Ovis aries: one gene and its partner. The protein of the gene in region 2 interacts with the protein of the main gene of each other region in a pairwise test. Links are inferred from orthologs where the notes say so. Each region holds a gene or a part of one and is shown on either strand. Other genes may lie near its edges.

Region 1 (4,518 bases), on a different chromosome or scaffold from region 2:
AGCTTTTAACGTACCAGTAAGATACTTACATAAATAGTTTAAAACATCTTATCTTCACCCTGTTATTATTACAGACCCTTTAACTGCACAGGGCATTAAATTTGCCTGTAATAGTTTCTTTTGCCTTGTACTTTCTGGCACCTAATATAGCCGCTCAAGGACCAATTTAGCTTATTCCCTTCCTTTTGGCCTTGTTCTCAATAGGCAAGGTTGCCAAAAAGCCAAGCTCCAGATGGGTGAGGTGCCACTGTGCTCTTACAAAAAAGCACTCTTGTTAGGATGTTGCTGATGGTGCAGCATTTCTGTGCATTACATACAGCTTGGCATTTGAGGGTGATCATAAATCCAGGACAGATTCTTGAGGTCACCTTTGGCAGTATCTGTCGTTGCCATGTCTTTCTATTATAATCCTACTTAACCTTTTTTTTTTTCTGATTGTTCTTTTTCTTAGGTGGCTCGTTATAGCAGTTGGTCTGGTCAGAGCATACCTGGCTAAGGGTAGCTATCACAGCCTTTATTATTCCATTGAAAAGCCTTTGAAATTCTTCCAAACTGGAGCCTTATTGGAGGTGGGTCCTGTGATTTGTTGTTGTTGATTTCTATTGTAAAATTAAAACAAGCTACTAAATTGTATTGAAGTAGCCATGTTTCTGTTGGATTTGCTTTAAATGTTAAAAACTTGCCTCATAGTATGCTATGTATAATGTTGATGTCTAGTTTATCTCTTTGACCAGGTCAAGTAGATCTCATTTAACTTGCATTACTTGGAATGTGTTTTACATTCAACTTTTATTGGAAATCAAATTAAACAGACTTATATTAGGATTAAAAAAGTTCCAGGAACATTCTAGGGAACTGCTAGCAAACTCGGATACTCTTGGGGCCTGGCATATAATGGGCACAGTGAAGTTGGTAAGTGTAGGATGTCAGGAGGGACAGATATAAGAAACAGTAGAGACTGTCTAGAAGCCTCCAAATTTTTTCTTAAAGAATAGTTTATTAATTTCCCTGTATTAAGGATAATGTATATATCCATTCCTGTCTTCTGGGTTAAGTATGTTAGGATTTTTGCGTGGCAAGTGACAGAAGCCCAATTCAAATTATTTTAAGCAAAAGGAAATTTATCGGCTCCCATGGTTGGTAAAGATGTAGGGTAAGCCTACAAAATCAAAGGGACCAGCTCAGGAATGAGGAGTGAGAACCAAGGATGTGATGCTGCGGACTCTCCTTCCATCTCTCGTCTCTGCTGCTCTGCTTCTCTTTGAATATTGGTCTTAGGCTCTCCTGCTGCAGATTGCCTTCTCCACATGGTGTGAGAGAGCTTATTTTTCTTAGCGTCAGGGAAGGATTCTGGTTGGCCTTACTTAGGACAATCACTCTTGCCAGTGATGTGAGATACTTGATTAGTCAGATCTGGGGCACATCCTTCTGGCCAAGAAACTGTAGACTTTGTTAATGGAAAAAGGGAGATGAGATGGCTTTGGGCACACACAATAGCTGCCGTAGTTCTTTATGGTGAAAATTTTTCAGGGTGCAGAGCAGATCTGGTATTCAGTTTCATTTCACGTAGCCTCTAGGCCAAGCCCGTCATGATGTTTGGAAGACTATTTAAGAAAAGACCATTTATCTCTATGAAATAAAATGTGTTCCTTCCACCTCTCCCCTAATTTTTGAAAGCAGAAAAAGCAGAGAGACTTCGATACTGTCCTTCTTACACATTTAAGGTAGATAGTGTGATGTAAAGAGCCTGCAGCCGGAGCTTGAGTGCCATATTCTAAGCATGCTAGTTTTACTAACTTACTTTGGGAATTTGGGGGTGTCATTTACCTCTTGTCTACCTCTTTTTCTCATTTGTAGAATAATTAGGTGGAAGTAGTTTAGGCCATATTTTAAACTTGGAGGTTGACGTTTTTTTGGAAAGAGGCAGTAGTAAATAAGTAGAACCTGTCTCCTGGACCTTTGGCCCACACAGTTCTCTAAAGCTACAGAGAAGCAAATTTGGAATCAAGACCATTAGAAACTGCCTCAGTGCTTGACACAGTAGGAAGTGGTCCCCCATTGGAATAATGTAATAATTTAAAGGGGAGTCTGTCTCTGTAAGACTTGGTAATATTAGAGGTATAATTTTGAAATTTTAAGATTATCTTAGGGAAGGTAGTGACCTCAAATAGTGTGATACAAAAATCCACTTAGGAACCAAATCTTAGCCTGGGAGGGATTAGCCCATTTATCCTTATAGAATTTTTAATAGGGATTTAAGAAAATACTTTGGAGTTTTGGTTTTATCTCTATTATCCCCAGTAAAAACCAATTTGGTGACAAATCCTGGATTTGATTCTGGGAAAAGTACTCTGCAAAATGAATGAAGACTCCCTGGAATGTGCAGTATATTAGCTTTGAAGATGGCAGTGGTGGGAAGGGACCCCTCAACTGGGGAGAAAAGATCAGGCTTGCTAGAACAGCGTTTCCTGAGCTGTCCATTAAGGAATGTTTTCTCGCCTACCCAACCTAGATGGTATGATAATTACATGTGCTTAGTATTGTTTAATTACAGATAAGTTGTCCTTTTGTGAGTTATTAGTGCTTGATAATAAACCCTGTTAAAGGAGGAAAAAATGAGTCCAGGGAGGTCAGCCACTCACTTGTACCTCTGTAAGAATATTCTGAATAATAATCTATATGATTATTCCTTAATAGGTTCTATGAGAGTTTGAAATAGACTCTACTTGTTCTCAAGAAACTTCAAATCTTCTCAGGAAAATATAACACTTTGCTTTTAAAAAAATTTAGAAACATTTACTAATCATGTATAAATGGACATGTAGTAATGTCCATTTAATTTCTGAGGAAATTAAATGAAGTTTTGCAAAATATGTACAAGATATATTGAGTTTGTGAAACAATAATATAGCTTTTTAATAAAATAGAAATCCCAATTTTTTTCCCACATACTCATACAAGAATGTCTTGAGTAATTTTTATAGATAGTTTTCCAAAATATTCCACAGGTGATAGTTAAATAAGTATGTGCTTGAGTCACTGTAATGGGTACCATGGAGACTGAACCCTTACTGATAAAGATATTAAAATTTTATTGAGTAGATGCTTCTGTTAGGACCATTGGCTAGAGATTATAGAAACCTCCTTGACTGACTTCATCTGTAAGGGGACTTTGTTAGAAATGTATAGTGTGTCCCATGGAACCCAATGGTGGGGCTGCACCTGGGACCTAGGAATGGCCTGGAATCAGGGACTGGAGCGCCACTGGGAACCCAGGAGTTCTTGCGGTGTCTCATTACCGTGCTCTCTCTCTTCCTCTGATTCTTCTCTTCCTGCAGACTGGTTTGTTTGCTTCCTTGTTTGTTTGTTTGGTTTCTTAGTCTACGTGGCAGACCATGGTAATAGAAAACTCCTGAGATTGTAGTTTCTGCAATCAAGAGAGCAGCTAATTAAAAGCAATCTTATTTCCATTTCCATAGTCCTAGTGAAGAGCCTAATTGTCCAGCTTAAATTAGGTACTTATTTCTGGTCCAGTCACCTATAGACAAGAGCAGGGTCACATTAACCGTATAGAAGTTGGAGGGAAGGGACAATCTCTAGAAAAGTGGTTTTAGGCAGCAAGCCCAAGAAAGTATGCACCAAAGTCATGAGACACAGTACAGTGAAGATACTAAGATATGAGATGATTTATAAATCTATAGAAAGTAAAATGCTGGTAACTTTGTGGGCCAAGAGGTCAGTGTGTAAATAAATACATTGTGTCTTGAGTTAAATGTGGAGTAATCCTGGGAGTTAATTAACATAGGTAACAGAAGTATATTTTTTAAATGCCATTCATAGATAAATAAAAAATGGTTTCTTCATACCATAAATGAATGAATTACTGGTACTTGTTACGACATAGATGAATCTTGAAAACATGCTTTGTGAAAGAAGCTAGAAACAAAAAGCTATGTGTTTGGTTCCATTTATATGAAAGATCCAGAATAAGCAAATTCAGAGAGACAGAAAGTGGATTAATGGTTGCCAAGGGCTGTGACTGCTTATGGGTACAGGATTTCTTTTTAAGGTGATGAAATTGTTCTTGAATTAAATGGTGGTATGGTTGTACAACCTTAGAAACATAACTGAAAATCACTGAATAGTATACTTTAAGTGAATTTTGTGATATGTGAACTATATCTCAGTTTTTTAAAATACCATTCATCTATAATGACCCATGGATAAGTTTTCTTTTTACTTTATTCTTTTCTGAGTTGTCCATGATAGTCCTGGATAAGGAAGGATTCTATCTTTCCTGTTGAGAATTCGGTTAAAGATTAGAAATTGGTAGATTGATCCTACATTATGGCACTTTAAACTTATTTCCAACAGAATTTGGATTTCTAAATATATTTAGTTAATGTAAGACTGTAATTACCACAAAGACACTTTCAGGTACTTGTAATTGGATGTGCCTCTGTGATTAACAGTGAGGATTTCAATAAGTTAAGGACTGCTCTACAGAGACATTTATTG
Region 2 (3,461 bases):
CTGGACTCTGCTGCCCTCGGTCCGTGATGAGGGACAGGTGGAGCATGGATGGACACACAGGCCTACAGCCACCCCTGGCTGGCGTGGGGAGCCAGGATCTGAACCCAGGCCCATCCCCTCTCCCTCTTTGCAGGCCCTCGGGGTCTCCTCACATCCTGACGTTTTGGGGTACGTCTGGTCTGTTAGGCACCGTGCCAGCCCCTCAAGGTACACACCTTCCTACCTGCCCCCAGGGTGGGACTGAGAGAGAAGCCTGGGATCAGTCCTGTGTGCCGCCTGCTGAGCCCCTGCCTCTCCTGCTGGCAGTAGGGGGTGTCAGAGAGGAACCCTTTCCCTGGGGCGGGGGCGGGGGGGGGTCCCTGGCTGGGTGGATGTGCCCTCAGAGAGCCTTGTTCAGGGCCCTGCCCTGGGTTCCACGTTCTCCTTTTCTCCATGCTGCCTCCGATGAGGGCCTGCCAGGTGGGAAGGGCCTACTTGGGGTCAGACCCAGCCCTGCCTGGGTGTCTGATAAGATCCGAATCAAGCCCTGCCCCAGGGGCCTCAGACCTTTCATGACAGGCTGGGGCTGCTAGGCCTCACTCCAGCTCCCCCAAGTTAGCACCTTTCACTGCTGGCTGGCATGCCTTCTGTCTGCCTGCTTAGAGCGGGTGGGTCAGACTCCCCTCGGAGCCCTGCCCCTCCCAGCATTGCCCCCGTGCTCCCCTGACTGGGGCTCAGAGACTAGGGGGTGCCTGGGATGTCTGCTCTGGGCTCTGGGGGCTCAGAGCCTGGACAAAGATGTTGTGCTGGGCTGGTGTGGTGGAAGGACTGCCCTGGTGGTGGCCTTGAACAAGGCCTGGGTGGGCCTGATGAGAAGCAGGCGGAGAGGGGGCCATGGAGGTGGGGGCCAAGGTCTCAGGATTGGTTGAGGGTGCTTGGTGGAAGCTTCTCCATTTCCAGACCCTTTCCACGCTTAGAATGAGGCTCTCCGCGCTGGGAACCCCGGAATCTGTCACCTTCCCTGGGAACATGAACGCACGAGGAAACTAATCCAGAGTGTCCCTTGCAGCTCAGAAGGGGAAATGAATGATCTATCTCACGGATTCTCAGAATAGCTGGGATTTCTCCAAGCCCAGGGAGCTCTGAGGGCTGAGCTGGGCCCTGGGCTGCCCGCTGACCTCTCCCCCTCCTCCTGGTGGACTAGCCCTTGCTCTGCACTGGGCTGGGACCCGCCTCCGTGCCCATCCTGGGCATCTCCCTGCCGTACTGTTGGGGGTCCACGTCCACTGGAAAGCCTTACAGTCGGAACCCCCCAGGCCTGGGGGTGCTGCTCCCAGGTGCCCCCCACCCCGGGAGGTCTGTGGTGTGGCTCCTGGGGGACTCCGGTGGGGCAGTTTTATATTTAGCTGGGTCGTGGCTGCTGGGCCACTCAGGTTACATCTGCACAGAAGCTGGCAGTGCCAGGGCAGGCACGGGCTTCCTTCCAGCACCGCGGCAGAATTTGATCGCGCCGGCCCGACCCAGAGCGCCTCGCGTGGGGAGGTCTGTGGTGGGGGCTGACGGCCGGCAGCTGGGGACTCTGGCCGCTGCGGGCAGAGCGGGGAGGCATGGACCTGAGCGTGAGCCTGGCGGCCCGGGACAGCAGCCAGGGGCTCGGCCCTGGCTTTGGCCTCAATGGCCTCCCCCGGCCTGCGCCCCCCAAAGCGACCAAGAAACCTAAAAAAGCCGTTCTCTTCTTCGAGGTGGAGATTCTGGATGCCAAGACCCGGGAGAAGCTGTGCTTCCTGGACAAGGTAGGACCGGCCGTGGCGCCAGCTTTGTGGGCCCGAGGGTGCTGGGCCTGGGACTCCTCCTTTTCTGGGGTCTTGGCCCCTGGGGAGATGGATATGCCCCTCCAGCTGTGTCCTGACAGCCACCCCCTGCCCTTCAGGGTGTGCAGGACGGGTGTGTCCCTGCGCCTGCCCCTGCCACTCGGCCCCTTGGGGCAGAGCGTCCTGTTCCCTGGGTGTGGTCTGGAGCTGGCCTCATGGTGTATGAGCAGGCCGTGCAGCTTCAGTGGACCCTGCAGGGCTCTGGTGCCTGGGAGAGAGGTGGGGTCCTGAGACCTGCCCCCTTCTGAGGCCAGTCCAGGGGAGTGGGGTGGTCCCATCCCAGGGAGGTCTGGAAAAGACTGAGGGCCTTGACTCGGGGAGGAGCTGTGGGTGGGGTGGAGAGGAGGGGCAAAGCAGGCTTGGCTTCCATGCTCACACCATCCCCCAGCTGGTCCAGAGGCGTCCTGGCTGCCTGGTTAAAATGGCCTTCTGGCCCATGGTTGTGGTGTCGGCTGGATGAGTTGGGGGGCCTGGTCTCCAACCCTCCCCCTCTCATAGCAGTTGTCTAGGACCCCAGTCCATCCCACCTCCCCAGGAGAGACCCTGGGCCCCTGGCCCTCCAAACTCTCTGCCACAACTGACTTGTCTCCGGCCTGTGCTTCCCCCAGGTGGAGCCCCAAGCCACCATTGCTGAGATCAAGAACCTTTTCACCAAGACTCGTAAGTCCAGGGCCCAGACACACGGCTCCCTGTGACCCCTCTGGGCAGGGGCCTCTAGGTGGGACCCCATCCTGCCTGCCTCTCCCTCAAGGGCCTGCAGAGATGCCCCTGGTGTGGCCCAAGCCTCTCGGGGCTGGCCTGGGGCCGCCGCCCCCGTGTGGCCACCCGCAGGAACGCCCTTGCAGGGCTTCCGGAAGGACAACATCCCCCTCTTGCTGCGCTTCCGTTCCGTGTCTGGGAGCCACACCGGGGCCCATAGGAGCCCACTTGGCCGTGTGCCTTGACACCCTACTCTCCCTACAGACCCACAGTGGTACCCCGCCCGCCAGTCCCTCCGCCTGGACCCCAGTGAGTACAGCCGTCTGCTGGGCTGCCCCCGGGCTCCAGGGTGGCCGTGGGCTTAGGCCCAGCAGCCCCTGAGCCCTGGCCCAACTCTCCTCAGAGGGCAAGTCCCTGAAGGATGAGGATGTCCTGCAGAAGCTGCCCGTGGGCACCACGGCCACACTCTACTTCCGGGACCTGGGGGCCCAGATCAGCTGGGTGACGGTGAGTGCCGAGCCCTCCTCCCCTGCAGTCTCGCCTCCTCGTGCCCCCGGGGTGACTCGCCATCCTCCCCAGGTCTTCCTGACAGAGTACGCCGGGCCCCTCTTCATCTATCTGCTCTTCTACTTCCGGGTGCCCTTCATCTACGGCCACAAATACGACTTCACGTCCAGTCGGCACACGGTGGTGCAGTGAGTGGGGCCGGCTGGGAGGAGGAGTGGGGTGGGGGGCCCGCCGGACCCGCCCCCGCTGAGCTGGCTCCCCGCCCCCAGCCTCGCCTGCATCTGCCACTCATTCCACTACATCAAGCGGCTGCTGGAGACGCTGTTCGTGCACCGCTTCTCCCACGGCACCATGCCCTTGCGAAACATCTTCAAGGTAGGCCCCCAGCTGCCCATCGGCCCAGGC

What was found.
Region 1: the proteins of TECR (region 2) and HACD2 interact in binary tests that used the Homo sapiens proteins (3 or more experiments, as listed by UniProt). The link is inferred for Ovis aries from reciprocal best matches to the Homo sapiens genes TECR and HACD2.

The regions. Positions count from the first base shown.
Region 1 is NC_056054.1:188,809,575-188,814,092, reverse strand, and holds part of HACD2 (very-long-chain (3R)-3-hydroxyacyl-CoA dehydratase 2), read left to right. Parts: intron 1-451; coding exon 452-569; intron 570-4,518. UniProt on the Homo sapiens protein: Catalyzes the third of the very long-chain fatty acids (VLCFA) elongation four-step cycle (condensation, reduction, dehydration, and reduction).
Region 2 is NC_056058.1:9,554,111-9,557,571, reverse strand, and holds part of TECR (very-long-chain enoyl-CoA reductase), read left to right. Parts: intron 1-1,721; coding exon 1,722-1,772; intron 1,773-2,458; coding exon 2,459-2,510; intron 2,511-2,813; coding exon 2,814-2,858; intron 2,859-2,952; coding exon 2,953-3,056; intron 3,057-3,128; coding exon 3,129-3,244; intron 3,245-3,325; coding exon 3,326-3,431; intron 3,432-3,461. UniProt on the Homo sapiens protein: Involved in both the production of very long-chain fatty acids for sphingolipid synthesis and the degradation of the sphingosine moiety in sphingolipids through the sphingosine 1-phosphate metabolic pathway.